Coturnix japonica: one gene and its partners. The protein of the gene in region 2 binds, or shares a complex with, the protein of the main gene of each other region. Links are inferred from orthologs where the notes say so. Each region holds a gene or a part of one and is shown on either strand. Other genes may lie near its edges.

Region 1 (3,646 bases), on a different chromosome or scaffold from region 2:
ATTTTACTATTGTGATGTGGAAGTTCAGAAACCTTCAATGACATTTCGTCCAGCAAAATAGTGATTGTATTCACACGTATTGTTTAGATACAAAGAATGAACAATGAAAATAACACTTACCGAAACAGAAACTGTCGGTTAAGGTTGGACACATCTATAGTATCCATGTCAATTACATGGATCTGCCTAAAACCAGACAGTGCCTGTGAAAAGAGATAGGCAACCTCACTACATAAGCAATGAAAAGCTTACAGTGCTGCAAGATTCATTCTGAATGCCAAAAAGGCAACCTTTGGAGGAACAAATGTAGGTGTTCTTTGTTCCCTGTGCAGATCAGCATGTCAGCTCTCTTTGTTGAAATGCTGGGTTGCTAACGCTGGTATTTGGACAGATGGAATTAGCAACATTTCAGTTGTCAAAGCACTGGCTTTAGAGAAGGGAAACGCTTTGCAGTGTTCTGAAGTGACATAAAAAATTGAGTCCCATGCTCTACTCCCCCCCCACCCCCCTTTTTTTTTTCTTTCTATAAAGACTCAATCTTGTCACATAAAAAACTTCAAACTTCTTGTTTGATGCTTTTTCTACATCCCATGTGTAATAACTGCATTAAATGCTGCACTGTGAAACTGATTAAACAAATGAACAGAAAGTAGCCTCTGGAAGAAAAGCAGTAAGAATTTCTGTATGTCATATTGCGTATCTTTAGTGCTGAACACTCATTTAGTTCACAAATCACAGTTCAGTTTTTGCCCAGTATTATCAAAGCAGATCAGAAGAGCCTAACAAAGAGAAGAGTGGGCCCAAAACATGAGGAACAGACACACTGGAGCCCTTAAGATATTTTTACTGGTGTTTCAAAGACACTGAGTACACGTGAACATCATCTAGACTTAAGTATGAGCATTTCTTTCTGAAAATTATAAAAGTAAATCACAATAACTTAAAATCTTTTGGAAAGGTGGAGACTGGGCATACATGGCAGATTTATGAAAACCCTTAACACAAGTCCTTCCTCATAATTAGCAACAGAGTGAATTTGTTCTTCTCCAATAAGCCTACAATACAGCAGCTCTAGTCAGAAGTTTAGTTTACCAGCACTACATTTTCAAAGAAAGAAAACTGCTATGTAGTTTTCAGTCTCTTCAAGCAAAATCCTGCTTAAGTAGAACGGTAACAAAGCGGTGCCAGAATAATATTACTCACAAGTGCTGGAACTCAAAACCCTAAGTTAACTTATCTGGAATGCCTGACTTCACATGAGGTGAATGATTTATCCAGCACCTCAAGCTTGCAGGTAATCTGTAGTGTAGTGAAATAGCAGTAAATAAAAACCATACTAAAATGAATCAACTCATAATTGCTCATATAGAAACTGTACTTTGTAACAATTTGCTATATCAAACCACACATTTTCCATGTAAACAAACTGTAAGGACAGAAGTTTTTACTGTTGAAGGAAGCAGGTGAATTACAGAAACTTAGTCCAAACTAAGTGATGGTAAGCGATACATTACAACAAATAAGAAAGGCCATGAGGAAGAAAATAGAGTAATAGAAAAATTAAACTCATACATACTTATTGGGTAAATGTCAGATAGCACACTATCCCATGGCTGCATTTTTAAACACTTAAAAACTGCTTCTCAGAGCTTGTAGAGAATCCATTACAAGCTAGCACTGCTGTCAAGAAGAGTACAGTAACTCTGCAGTGTATTTTCTTTGGTCTCACACCTATTCCTCCTTAGCCACTTCCATATAGGATAGCGCATGTTGGTCTGATGGAATAAAGAAGCTTTTTACACAGGCTGAATTCAGCAGCACTGATGCAATCCTGAAAGAGTCCTAAAGATTCTTGTTGAGTCTCTGGAGAGAAGCTCATGTTTACTGAGAGCCACTACTCTCTGGATTCCAACAATGAGGAGGAGGTCACCACAGGCACAGTAAGACTGGCTCTATTACTTTCATTTTTAAAGATCATAGGTCCAGCATTTCCAGCCTCTCTTTGCATTAATCCAAACACATAAAAAATTAAGTTAATCTTTGGCTGCTAATGATAAACTCTCTATTAGCCACTCTTTGTATAGTTCATTTCCCAGGATCTCATAATTGGGGGAAGGCTGAGGGAGTTGGGTTTGTTCAGCCTAGAGAAGAGAAGGTTGCGGGGTGACCTCATTGCAGCCTTTCAATACCTGAAGGGAACTTACTCCCAGGAGGGGAGTAAACTCTTCAAAAGGGCTGATAATAGCAGGACTAGGGGAAATGGTTTTAAGTTAAAAGAGGGAAGATTTAGGTTGGATGTTAGGGGGAAGTTCTTCACTAGGAGAGTGGTTAGGCCCTGGAACAGGCTGCCCAGGGAGGTTGTGGATGCCCCGTCCTTGGAGGTGTTCAAGACCAGGTTGGACGGGGCCCTGGGCAACCTGATCTAGTAAACGTGTATGTTTGGTGGCCCTGCCAGGCAGGGGGGTTGGAACTACATGATCCTTGAGGTCCCCTCCAACCCGGGTCATTCTGTGATTCTGTGTGATTCTGTGGGGAAAATACCCAATATTAGGCCCTACCTAAGGCTGTAAATAAACATTTTCCTGCACTTCATACACAGCAGCACACTGCTCCTCAGGAGAAACACTGAGAGAGCTCAAAGAAAATAAGTACACCTTACACTACCACCCTTCAAGCTCATTTCAAGGAGTAACTAAGATCACAAGAAAAGGATGAAAACTGAGTAATTACCAGGTTCTTCAGGAGTTCACATCCTAACCCTCCTGCTCCAATAACTAGTACTTTACACGTGCTTAAAAGAAATTCAAGAGCCTGTGGAAAATATAAAACAAACAAACAAACAATTAATACATCATATAGGAAAAGGTACCATTTGTCCTTTGTTTCATACACCTTACAATTGTGTCATCATAAATTTTCAGTGCACAATAAGCTTCATATAAAATAAGTTAGATCAATAACATAGTTTAAGCTTGCAGGAATAATTATACTTGGACTTTAATCAGTTGTTAAGTTCATGTAATTCCTGTATCTCTACTTAAAGGAAAGCGAGTCTGTTTGCTATCAGTATTCTCTTTGAATTAATTTGGCTGTGAAAAAAGAAAAGCAAGCTCCATTTTATTATTACTCAGTTTAAGGACACATTTCAGTTTAGTGTTTTTCCCCCAAGCAGCTTGCTTACATATAATACAAAATAAACAGATAGAAAACATTGCTGGCCACATAGTTTTTTTTCTATTAACTACATTATTAGACTCTATAGTCAAAGTAGCATATAATGGAATGGTACATTTAAAAGGTTAAACACATTCAACTTTAAGCTTTGAAACAAAAGGTACCAAAGCAATGAAAGGAGAAGAAAATTCAGAGAGGCAAAATTTTGCTTTTCCCTATGGAATATCCCAATTCTCCAAGTACTCATATTAAGTTTAATTTCTTAAGTACAAGGAATTCTTTACTGTGCCTAATTGTTTAAAAATCAATAGACTAACACTATTTTTCATGTGAAACTCAAAGATGGAGAATAATTATTACTGTGTATCATAGAATACATTTCTACACATGCCAGCAAGTTGACAGTTTACAATCTAGAAATAAAAGTATATGAAAAGAATATGACACACTCTTCTAATATAATCACATTCAC
Region 2 (4,252 bases):
GAAGGAAGGGGACAGACTCTTTAGCAGGGTCTGATGTGACAGAACAAGGGGGAATGGTTTCAGACTAACAGTGGGGAGATTTAGAGCGAATTTAAGGAAGAAGTTGTTACTGTGCTTTTTGTTGGGGTTTCTTTTGTTCGTTATATATTTTACAGAAAGCGCGGTGAGGCACTGGAACAGTTTGCCCAAAGAGGTGGTGGAAGCCTCGTCCCTGAAGACATACGGAATCAGGCTAAATGGGGCTCTGAGCACCTGATAGAGCTGTTGGCATCCCTGTTCATTGTAGGGGGGATTGGACTAAATGGATTCCTTCCAATTCAAAGATAATACAGTTCTATGATAAACTCCACATATAAACCATGAGGTCAGCCACAAGCAATTTCAAACACACTTCTGGAAAGCATTCTATAAAACATTTAGTATTGTATCACCGCCAACAGGTCTAAAAAGTACAAACCACAAAATTTAAATGCAAGTTCCTTTCACCTTTAACAAGCAATTTATCTCGAACAGACACCCTCCGAGTGGAATCAGAAGATGGATTGGATGCACGGGGTCCTCTGACACCATCATCCCGCTTCAACTTGCTTGCCAGAGTGAGCATTACTGCTGTCTTCAGTCTAGAACACAGATATAAGAACAGAGTTAATTGCCAATACTCAAAGCACTACGGAAGGGGAAGTACACAAATAGGAGACGGTTAGACCCACATTACATAGCACTGGCCATATTCTTAGCAGTCAAAGAAAACAGACAACTTGACTGCAGTTAAAGTCAAGGACTAACTGTAGCGTTTGAAGAACAAGAGTTTGTTTCAGATGGAAATACTGATAGAGCTGCAACCTGTCAGGTGAGGAGGAAGTTCAGTTTTTGCTGGCAAAAGGTCAGACTTTCATCACTGTTTACAACCTTGTCTCACTGCACCATCTAACACAGTGTATTGCTGTCTGACATCACTACTCATAAAGAACTGCAGCAAGAATCCCACTGCCACGTTCCCAGCCAGACAACCTGTTCCTACCATCCTCATCTATATCTCCCATGACAGCACTCAGAACTGCTTTTGGCAGCCAAAGAAGAGAGGAAGAGGAGGGGAGGGGCTCCTGGAACTACTCTGCAGCACTGGGAAGTGTGTTGAGTCAGACAGCAGCACCCAGCAAAGGGAACAGATTTAAACTGCTCAACAGTGACACAATGCACCCTTCACAGCACAGCCAAAGTTACACATGGACAGTTGGTAACTGAAACAGAGAGATTTTTGCTATGTCAGTCCTCCACATCAGAAGAGGACTATGATGATCAGTCACAGCAAGAGTTGGACAGAATGCCAAATTCTTCAAACCAAAGTGCTCTGCCTGAACATTTTAACGCTACTCCTACTTTAAGGCAGCTCATTCTTATAAGAAGTTTCATTCTTATTAGAAATGCGGCCAAAACCTTGTCCTGCTGACAAGATCAATACCATTTAGGCCTCATCACCAGTAGAACAGTAATGTTTATCCTATAATCATACAAGCTAATTGAGCAAAATAAAGGTAAAAAGCTTGTAAGAAATCAGCATTTGGCCTTAACATGAGCTAGTCTGAACAGAAGACTGGACAGGTACAGTGCAGCAACTTCCAAGACATGAAACAGTCACTCATGCAACATCAGCTTTCCACCAGTTGAGATACTGACAGTGCAAATGGTCAAGTGAAAGAACCACTGAGCTGAAGCTAAGCACAACATAATATGACAAGACTAGAAACAAGACTTTTATGTCAGCTCCAGCTCTATGTATGTTGTTGCTTCTTTCTTTCTAAGCATGCCTTGAAATCAGCAGGTCAACAGCAACAGCTTTTGCTGATTTTGTTTGTTCCGGCCACAAGGAAATCAGGTGGGAGAAAAAGCTTCCCCAGCCTGTCAGTCTGCTTGGTGTACCTACAAAAACAGCCTGACTGCTCTTGAGGTTTGTGAGAAAGCTGGGGGATTTATATCAAAGCACATCAGCGCCAAAGCATCAACACAGGGAAGAGGTGAAATCAAGCAACAGCTGTGACAGCTGGGTATTCAAGGTAGAGGGCTGGAATCAGATGAGCTTTAGGAACCCTTCCAACCTAAGCTATTCTGTGATTCTGGGTCGAGAAGAATATAACAGATAACTGAGTGATGACAGGTATGTGTCTTACATTTCAGATCCAGACTGAAACAGTAAAATCTGGAGTAAATGTAAATCCTGGTTTCCCATCTGAAACAGACTCAGTTGCGGGTTTTTTTCCCCCCTTTCTTTCTCTGGGACAGCATGAAATGAATAAGCAGACAATAGAGCCTGTTTTTCTACAAAGAAAGGCAACAGCTGGTTTTAACGAAACGGAGAAAAAGAGAAGAGGCAGGAAAACAGCGACACGGGCTCCTAAGAGCAAAACAACAACGAAAACAGAGAGGAAAACCCTGTGAGCTGCAGGGTGTCACGTCCAAACGGAACCAGTGTCAGCGGGCATTGAGCACCTCGCTGCCTTCAATGCGGCACAGGGAGAAGCCGAGCAGCACGGGGAGGGGACGAGCTCAGCGCTGACGGAGCCCAGGGAGGGGGTTGTTTGCAGCACGCAGGGGCCCGTACTACCGGGCCTCTCTCCCCTCAGGCGGGGGCAGGCAGCCGGAGTGCCGAGGCCTAGTAGGCCGGCGTTGTAAGCGCGACCGAACCCAAACCCAGAGGCGTTGTGGGGCGGCCCGCACCTACCTGAGCGCGGCGTCAGGGCCCGGCTCCCGCGGCCAACACCATCCCGGGGCTGGCCCGGGGCAGGGGCGGCGGCGCGGCTCCTCCTCCGCCTTCAGCCGCCCGCCCGACGTTATGGAAGTGGGCGGGGATGTGGGCAGGGCCTGCGGGAGACCCCTCCCCTCCACCGGCTGCGAGGGCTCTTCCTGCCCCCCCCATCATCTCTCGAGAGTCCGCCATGTTTGGTGTTGTGCTCCACACAGCACAAAGCTGAGCAGCTCCACACATCATTCGCCATTGCCCAGCAGTGACTGTTCCCAAAGCTAAAGAAACAAAACCAACATCTTAAACTATCCTACCTAAAGTCTTCATGGTTCCTTACGTCCTTTACATCTTATATTTAAACTATCCTACCTAAAGTCTTGATGGTTCCTTACGTCCTTTACATCTTATATTTAAACTATCCTACCTAAAGTCTTGATGGTTCCTTTTTAGTCTGTTTTTAAGCTTTTATTTAACACATCCATCTCTCTGTTGGAAGAAAGCAGCAAAGTCTGTTTTTTTTTATTAAAAAGTACCAGTTTCTTCCTTAGTGGGCAAGTTGGAAGAGTTCTTGTATTTGTTCCTGACTTCATACAACAAGGCAGTATCCTAAAACCCCCTTGTGACTTCCCTAAATGCAGCTTTTCTGTGCTCTTATGATACCTCTATATCCAAACACATTCCAGCTACTGCAAAATGAAGTCACAGTCCCTGCTGCAGATACACATTAGAGATCAGTCATCGGGCTTGGAACAGCAGCAGGTTCAGGCAGAGCTCAGGACGTGATCTGTGTTTTACTGGCATTTTCTCAGCATTGGTGCTACTCAGTATATCGGATAATGCTAACAGAACTGAAACCAAGCTATCCTGGGGGGCAAATGAAAATCAGACCCCTTCTTAAGGGTTTTATCTTGAGAACTGTGTTTTAGCATGACTGCAGCATGATTACTTCTTGACATAAAACTGCTGCTTTATCTACTTGAACACTCTTTGTCTTCCTGTTTGTCTACAGCTTCCAGGCCATCCCCATTATCTGTGGAACTGCAATCCTTTCCCCATCCACACAACAGACAGAGTACAAGAGATGGAAAAGCAAGTTTGTTTGGATGCCAAACAGCAGATGAAAAAGAGCTGGAGAATACAGCACTTTGGTGGTTTAACTTCCTTTTTTAGCACACTCACCCACCAATGTTGGCCTTCTGGTATTCCTAATAATAGCTTTCAGGAGTCAGTTTGTTTTCTACAGAGGAACATGGCCTGTCTGGACATTTTAGATCCTTAAGAGACTTGTGCACACAATTGCAAGAAAGCAAAATCAGTTCTGCTCAAAAGACACAGGCAGCTAAACCACTTAAACTAAAATTACCTTTTGAGAAGGAAAAAAAAGAGGCAAAGAAGAAAACATTACTGATTCTACTGAATATTCCCATGAAAGAGGCAGCCCAGGAGACTTGGGAACCTTGAGGCATGAGTTGTGAACCGGCAAAAACAAACAGAAAAACCCTGCCTTGCAAA
Region 3 (3,646 bases), on a different chromosome or scaffold from region 2:
ACACCACCCCGGACCCAACAAGAAGCTCACCACTGGAAGGTCGGCTTCCTTCAGCTTTACACACGGTCACAAAACCCACGAGATGCCAGAGATGACTGCTCAGCTTTGAGGGTTTTTGTTGTTTTCGATTTTTCATTGAAGCCACTTTACAGTCCTGAAGTACAGCTCTGAAAACAAAAGGTGTGTGATGAACGCTTCACGAGTTCAATGCTGGGCTTCACGGGAAGCCTTGGCAATTATCCCTTTTTACCAAAACGTGTAAAAAAGTTGACATATTACAATTAAAAAAGGTAACATCAATAACCAAAAAAAGCTTCAACCAGTGTTAATAAAATTCCCTTTAAGTCACAACAGTTTCAACAGGCAAATTGTCCCAATACAGGCATTGTAAAATAATAAATTTACTCCTATCCAAATATTATCAAATCAGTCTAAAAATGACTTATCTACACTGTTGTCATTAAGAACACATTACGAATTCACTTTGTCATCAGATGCCGATATTGTTGCTCCAGAAAGTGTGGAGTATTAACTGCAATTTAGCAATTAAGCATAGCTTTAGAAAACTTGGTTCCTCACATAGAAGTACTGTGCTTGCCAGACAAGTAAGATAATGCTTCGGGTATAAATCAAACAAATTAAAGCAGAATTATACCGCAGTTTTCCTTGAAGACTTAGGCTTTGTGTGTTGCTTCTGCCAATGTTTAAAAAACTTATGAAGCAGAACCTTTGGTTCTTTTAGTCAAGTAAAAATATTCTCCTGTAACCACAAAAATAAAACTTCCAGAGAAAATGGAAGTCCACCAAGAAGTCCACTTTCAATAAAACTGAGGTAGCACTGCTCTTTTATTCTGTGTTGTGTCAGAGATTTCGATACAAATCCTCATCTACCACTCAGTTGACTGACAGGTACAGTAACTTTATAAAACAGTCCCAACATTCAGTTTGAAACTGAAAATAAAAAGGAATGATTTGGACTCGGTCACGAGGAGTTACCTTCAAGTGGCAACGAGCCACACTACAAAAAGCTGTTGCTTATGTCATTGGATTTGTTGCTGTTGTTTGTTTCTTAAGAGCCTTATTAGGAGGGGATTAATGCATTTCAAGTTAACACTGCTATATTCTTGGTATAAAACCTTAAAATCATTACAGCCTAAATTTTCAACAATGTAAACAGCACTACACACAGTACAGACCTGCCCTGACAGACGTAGTATGAAAGACTTAATCTGGCACTGTATAATTTAGCAATGTTAATTTAACCTAACTAAAAGGATCTACATTGTGCAAGAAATATCAGACTTACTTATACTAATCTCAAGTCTTAACAAAAACGCTTAACTTGTAGCCGGGGTAAAATATTTCCGGGTAAGAGTAAAAGGAGTAACCAAAGTTAAGAAAGTGCCTAAAACATGATACAGCATTTTAGAGCCCTTTCGAATACAAGGCAGAAAAAGGTGTAAAGTAGAAAAAAAACAAACATCTGGAGCCTCGGTAACCTCCAGAAACATCCAGAGTTTACATCTCACGAAGGGCAACAGGTTGCTTTCATCACTGCCACCTAAATGCTGTTAAGTCTGTTCTTCCCTACACAGACCCCCTGTGTCCGAAGACATAATACATTTGGTTTCCTCTTCCTTTTTCCTCCGCTCCATTTCCCACTCCACAAAGGTATCGAAGAGACTCGGCCAGGCCTCGTCTTCGCTGTAGTTACTAAGGTCTGGTCCGATCACCTGAGTAAAATTTAGAAACATGTTCCACGTGTCCCGGGAGATTCCCTTGATTCCTGAGGGGTTCTCAACTAGGAAGTGCAACCACTGGTCCAAAATGGGGGGCTTGTTTTGGGTGAAGACTAATTTCCAAAGGGCAATGGCTATTTCCCGATGCAGTGACCTCTGTCCTTCCTCAGAGTCCAGGCCAAACTGAAAGGTGAAGCGGTAGAGATCCTTGAATTTATCTTCCTGCTTGGCTTCATGTAAGAGGCTGGGGAACCGTGCACAAATGCCATCGATGCTGTCCGCATTTATTGCTTTACAGCCTTCAAAAAACTCCTTCCTATTACAAGAGAGAAGAAAAATTAGTGTGCACACTTCTCATGCACCGAGCACTTCCCACCTCTCTAAGCTTCATCAGGACTGGTCTTGGAGGAAGTCATTATGCGTAACATCAGTTGGGAACGAACATCAGTTGGGCCTGCTTTACACTCTTTCACAAAACAATAACAGAGCTGGCAGCAATTACTAAGGACTCTCACAGCAAAAGTTATCTGCTGTGTCAAATCTTAACCTTAAGGCAGAGCTGATACAGAAAAGCTGGTTTTGTGAGCCAAGAACAAACTGATGTCTACAGAATGTCTCCATGCTGTTCATCATTAGTAGCGTGATGTCCAGAAACATTTTCAGTTCTGAAACCTACCGTGAGGGAGCAGGAGGAGAGGACAACACTGAACTTACCTTCTGCAGCCGCAGGAATGAACTGCACCAAAGCGCAACAGTTAGAAGAAATACCTACGTGAAGTGAATGAGGCTCTCTCTGATACAGATGACAGGATAGTTTAACATACAAAAATATTTAAAACTCCACGGGAACTAACCTTGTAAATTTGCACATAGTAGCAGCCTGGAATTTCCAAGCCAGAACTAGCACTTTAAATTCAGTGGGATCAACACAGAGGTCACTGCAAAATCGTTCCATTCCTTCCTCCAGTATGGCATCTTCCCGCTCATCCTTGTACCTCCTAAATAACTCTCCAATCTTTTGGAGGGACGATTCTTCTGCGCTGGAGACAGAGTCTTTCTTTGTATCCCCAGAAAACACTGAAGGTGGACCAGACTCCACAGCAGCATCCGCTTTCTTTGTCCCATTCACGAGTATATCTCCCGAGGACTTCCCACATGCCGAAGTGTGGTCATCTTTGTGCACAGCACTCCTCTTGCTATGCGACTTGCTGCCCGTTTCCCTTTCCCCGTTTTTGCTGCCGAGGGTAGACGAAGGATTCTTGCACTTGGTGACACACTGGCCCATGGTGCAGGGAGCCTGGCTTCATTCAGAGCAGCCTCCTTGCCGTGCCACAGCCCCGCGGCCACCCCTCAGCACACTGCTCCATGCCGCTGGGGGCTGTCTGCCAACCTGGAAAACAGTTTCAGAGTGAAAGAGCACTTCTCCACAAAGAACATTGCAAGCACTACACGTGGGATAACATTCACTGGAAGGAGATGGGCTTCAGGATACTTCTGTTTCGCCTGTTGAAAAGGAACAGTGTGCAGAAAGTCAGTGTATGCTGGAAACTTCAGGCAATTCCAGGCTGCTTCACCTCGCTCAGTTGCTGCTGTATATTAACAGGTCTTAATAAAGGAAATTCCTAAAATTCTTATGGAAACATAGGTTACAAAGAGGTTGATTCATGTGCAAACTTCATCGTGACAGACTACTCTAACACAGAAATGTTTTAAAGGAAATTTAAAAAAATATGTGTGTGTGTGCACTCACATTTAAAATACAGAGCACAAAATGGTGAAACAAAGCACTGGGTGGGGGAAAGAGAGGGACAGCAACAAGATGACCTGACCCAGAGCAGGGGCACGCACACACAGAAGTAGCAGTAACCCCAGTTCAGCTGGTAAAATCAAAATTTAAAGGCCAAAAC

Evidence for each region.
Region 1: the proteins of UBE2F (region 2) and UBA3 are in contact, whole or in part, in a crystal structure (PDB 3FN1), measured with the Homo sapiens proteins. The link is inferred for Coturnix japonica from reciprocal best matches to the Homo sapiens genes UBE2F and UBA3. Residues at the interface, in NP_001265234.1 of Homo sapiens: Thr27, Arg28, Arg29, Val30, Asp34, Lys35, Val38, Lys39, Val41, Ala42, Glu45, Val54, His55, Phe56, Pro57, Asp58, Pro59, Asn60, Leu62; in NP_003959.3 of Homo sapiens: Ala401, Thr403, Thr405, Leu406, Glu407, Gly408, Asn410, Arg411, Thr412, Ser417, Val418, Thr419, Ser420, Ile421, Arg424, Thr425, Gln442, Glu443, Ala445, Ala447, Asp448, Val449, Thr451, Pro452, Gln453, Thr454, Leu456.
Region 3: the proteins of UBE2F (region 2) and DCUN1D3 are in contact, whole or in part, in a crystal structure (PDB 4GBA), measured with the Homo sapiens proteins. The link is inferred for Coturnix japonica from reciprocal best matches to the Homo sapiens genes UBE2F and DCUN1D3. Residues at the interface, in NP_001265234.1 of Homo sapiens: Leu2, Thr3, Leu4, Lys7, Leu8; in NP_775746.1 of Homo sapiens: Glu108, Glu109, Glu112, Pro122, Thr123, Glu124, Met139, Cys140, Glu194, Ile204, Ala207, Leu208.

The regions. Positions count from the first base shown.
Region 1 is NC_029527.1:12,736,874-12,740,519, forward strand, and holds part of UBA3 (NEDD8-activating enzyme E1 catalytic subunit), read right to left. Parts: intron 2,812-3,646; coding exon 2,731-2,811; intron 204-2,730; coding exon 121-203; intron 1-120. UniProt on the Homo sapiens protein: Catalytic subunit of the dimeric UBA3-NAE1 E1 enzyme. E1 activates NEDD8 by first adenylating its C-terminal glycine residue with ATP, thereafter linking this residue to the side chain of the catalytic cysteine, yielding a NEDD8-UBA3 thioester and free AMP.
Region 2 is NC_029522.1:8,478,892-8,483,143, reverse strand, and holds the start of UBE2F (NEDD8-conjugating enzyme UBE2F), read right to left. Parts: upstream 2,862-4,252; 5' UTR 2,720-2,861; intron 621-2,719; 5' UTR 605-620; coding exon 487-604; intron 1-486. UniProt on the Homo sapiens protein: Accepts the ubiquitin-like protein NEDD8 from the UBA3-NAE1 E1 complex and catalyzes its covalent attachment to other proteins. Together with the E3 ubiquitin ligase RNF7/RBX2, specifically neddylates cullin-5 (CUL5).
Region 3 is NC_029529.1:12,698,427-12,702,072, forward strand, and holds part of DCUN1D3 (DCN1-like protein 3), read right to left. Parts: intron 3,130-3,646; 5' UTR 3,025-3,129; coding exon 2,594-3,024; intron 2,056-2,593; coding exon 1,572-2,055; 3' UTR 1-1,571. UniProt on the Homo sapiens protein: Contributes to the neddylation of all cullins by transferring NEDD8 from N-terminally acetylated NEDD8-conjugating E2s enzyme to different cullin C-terminal domain-RBX complexes and may play a role in the cell cycle progression by regulating the SCF ubiquitin E3 ligase complex, after UV damage.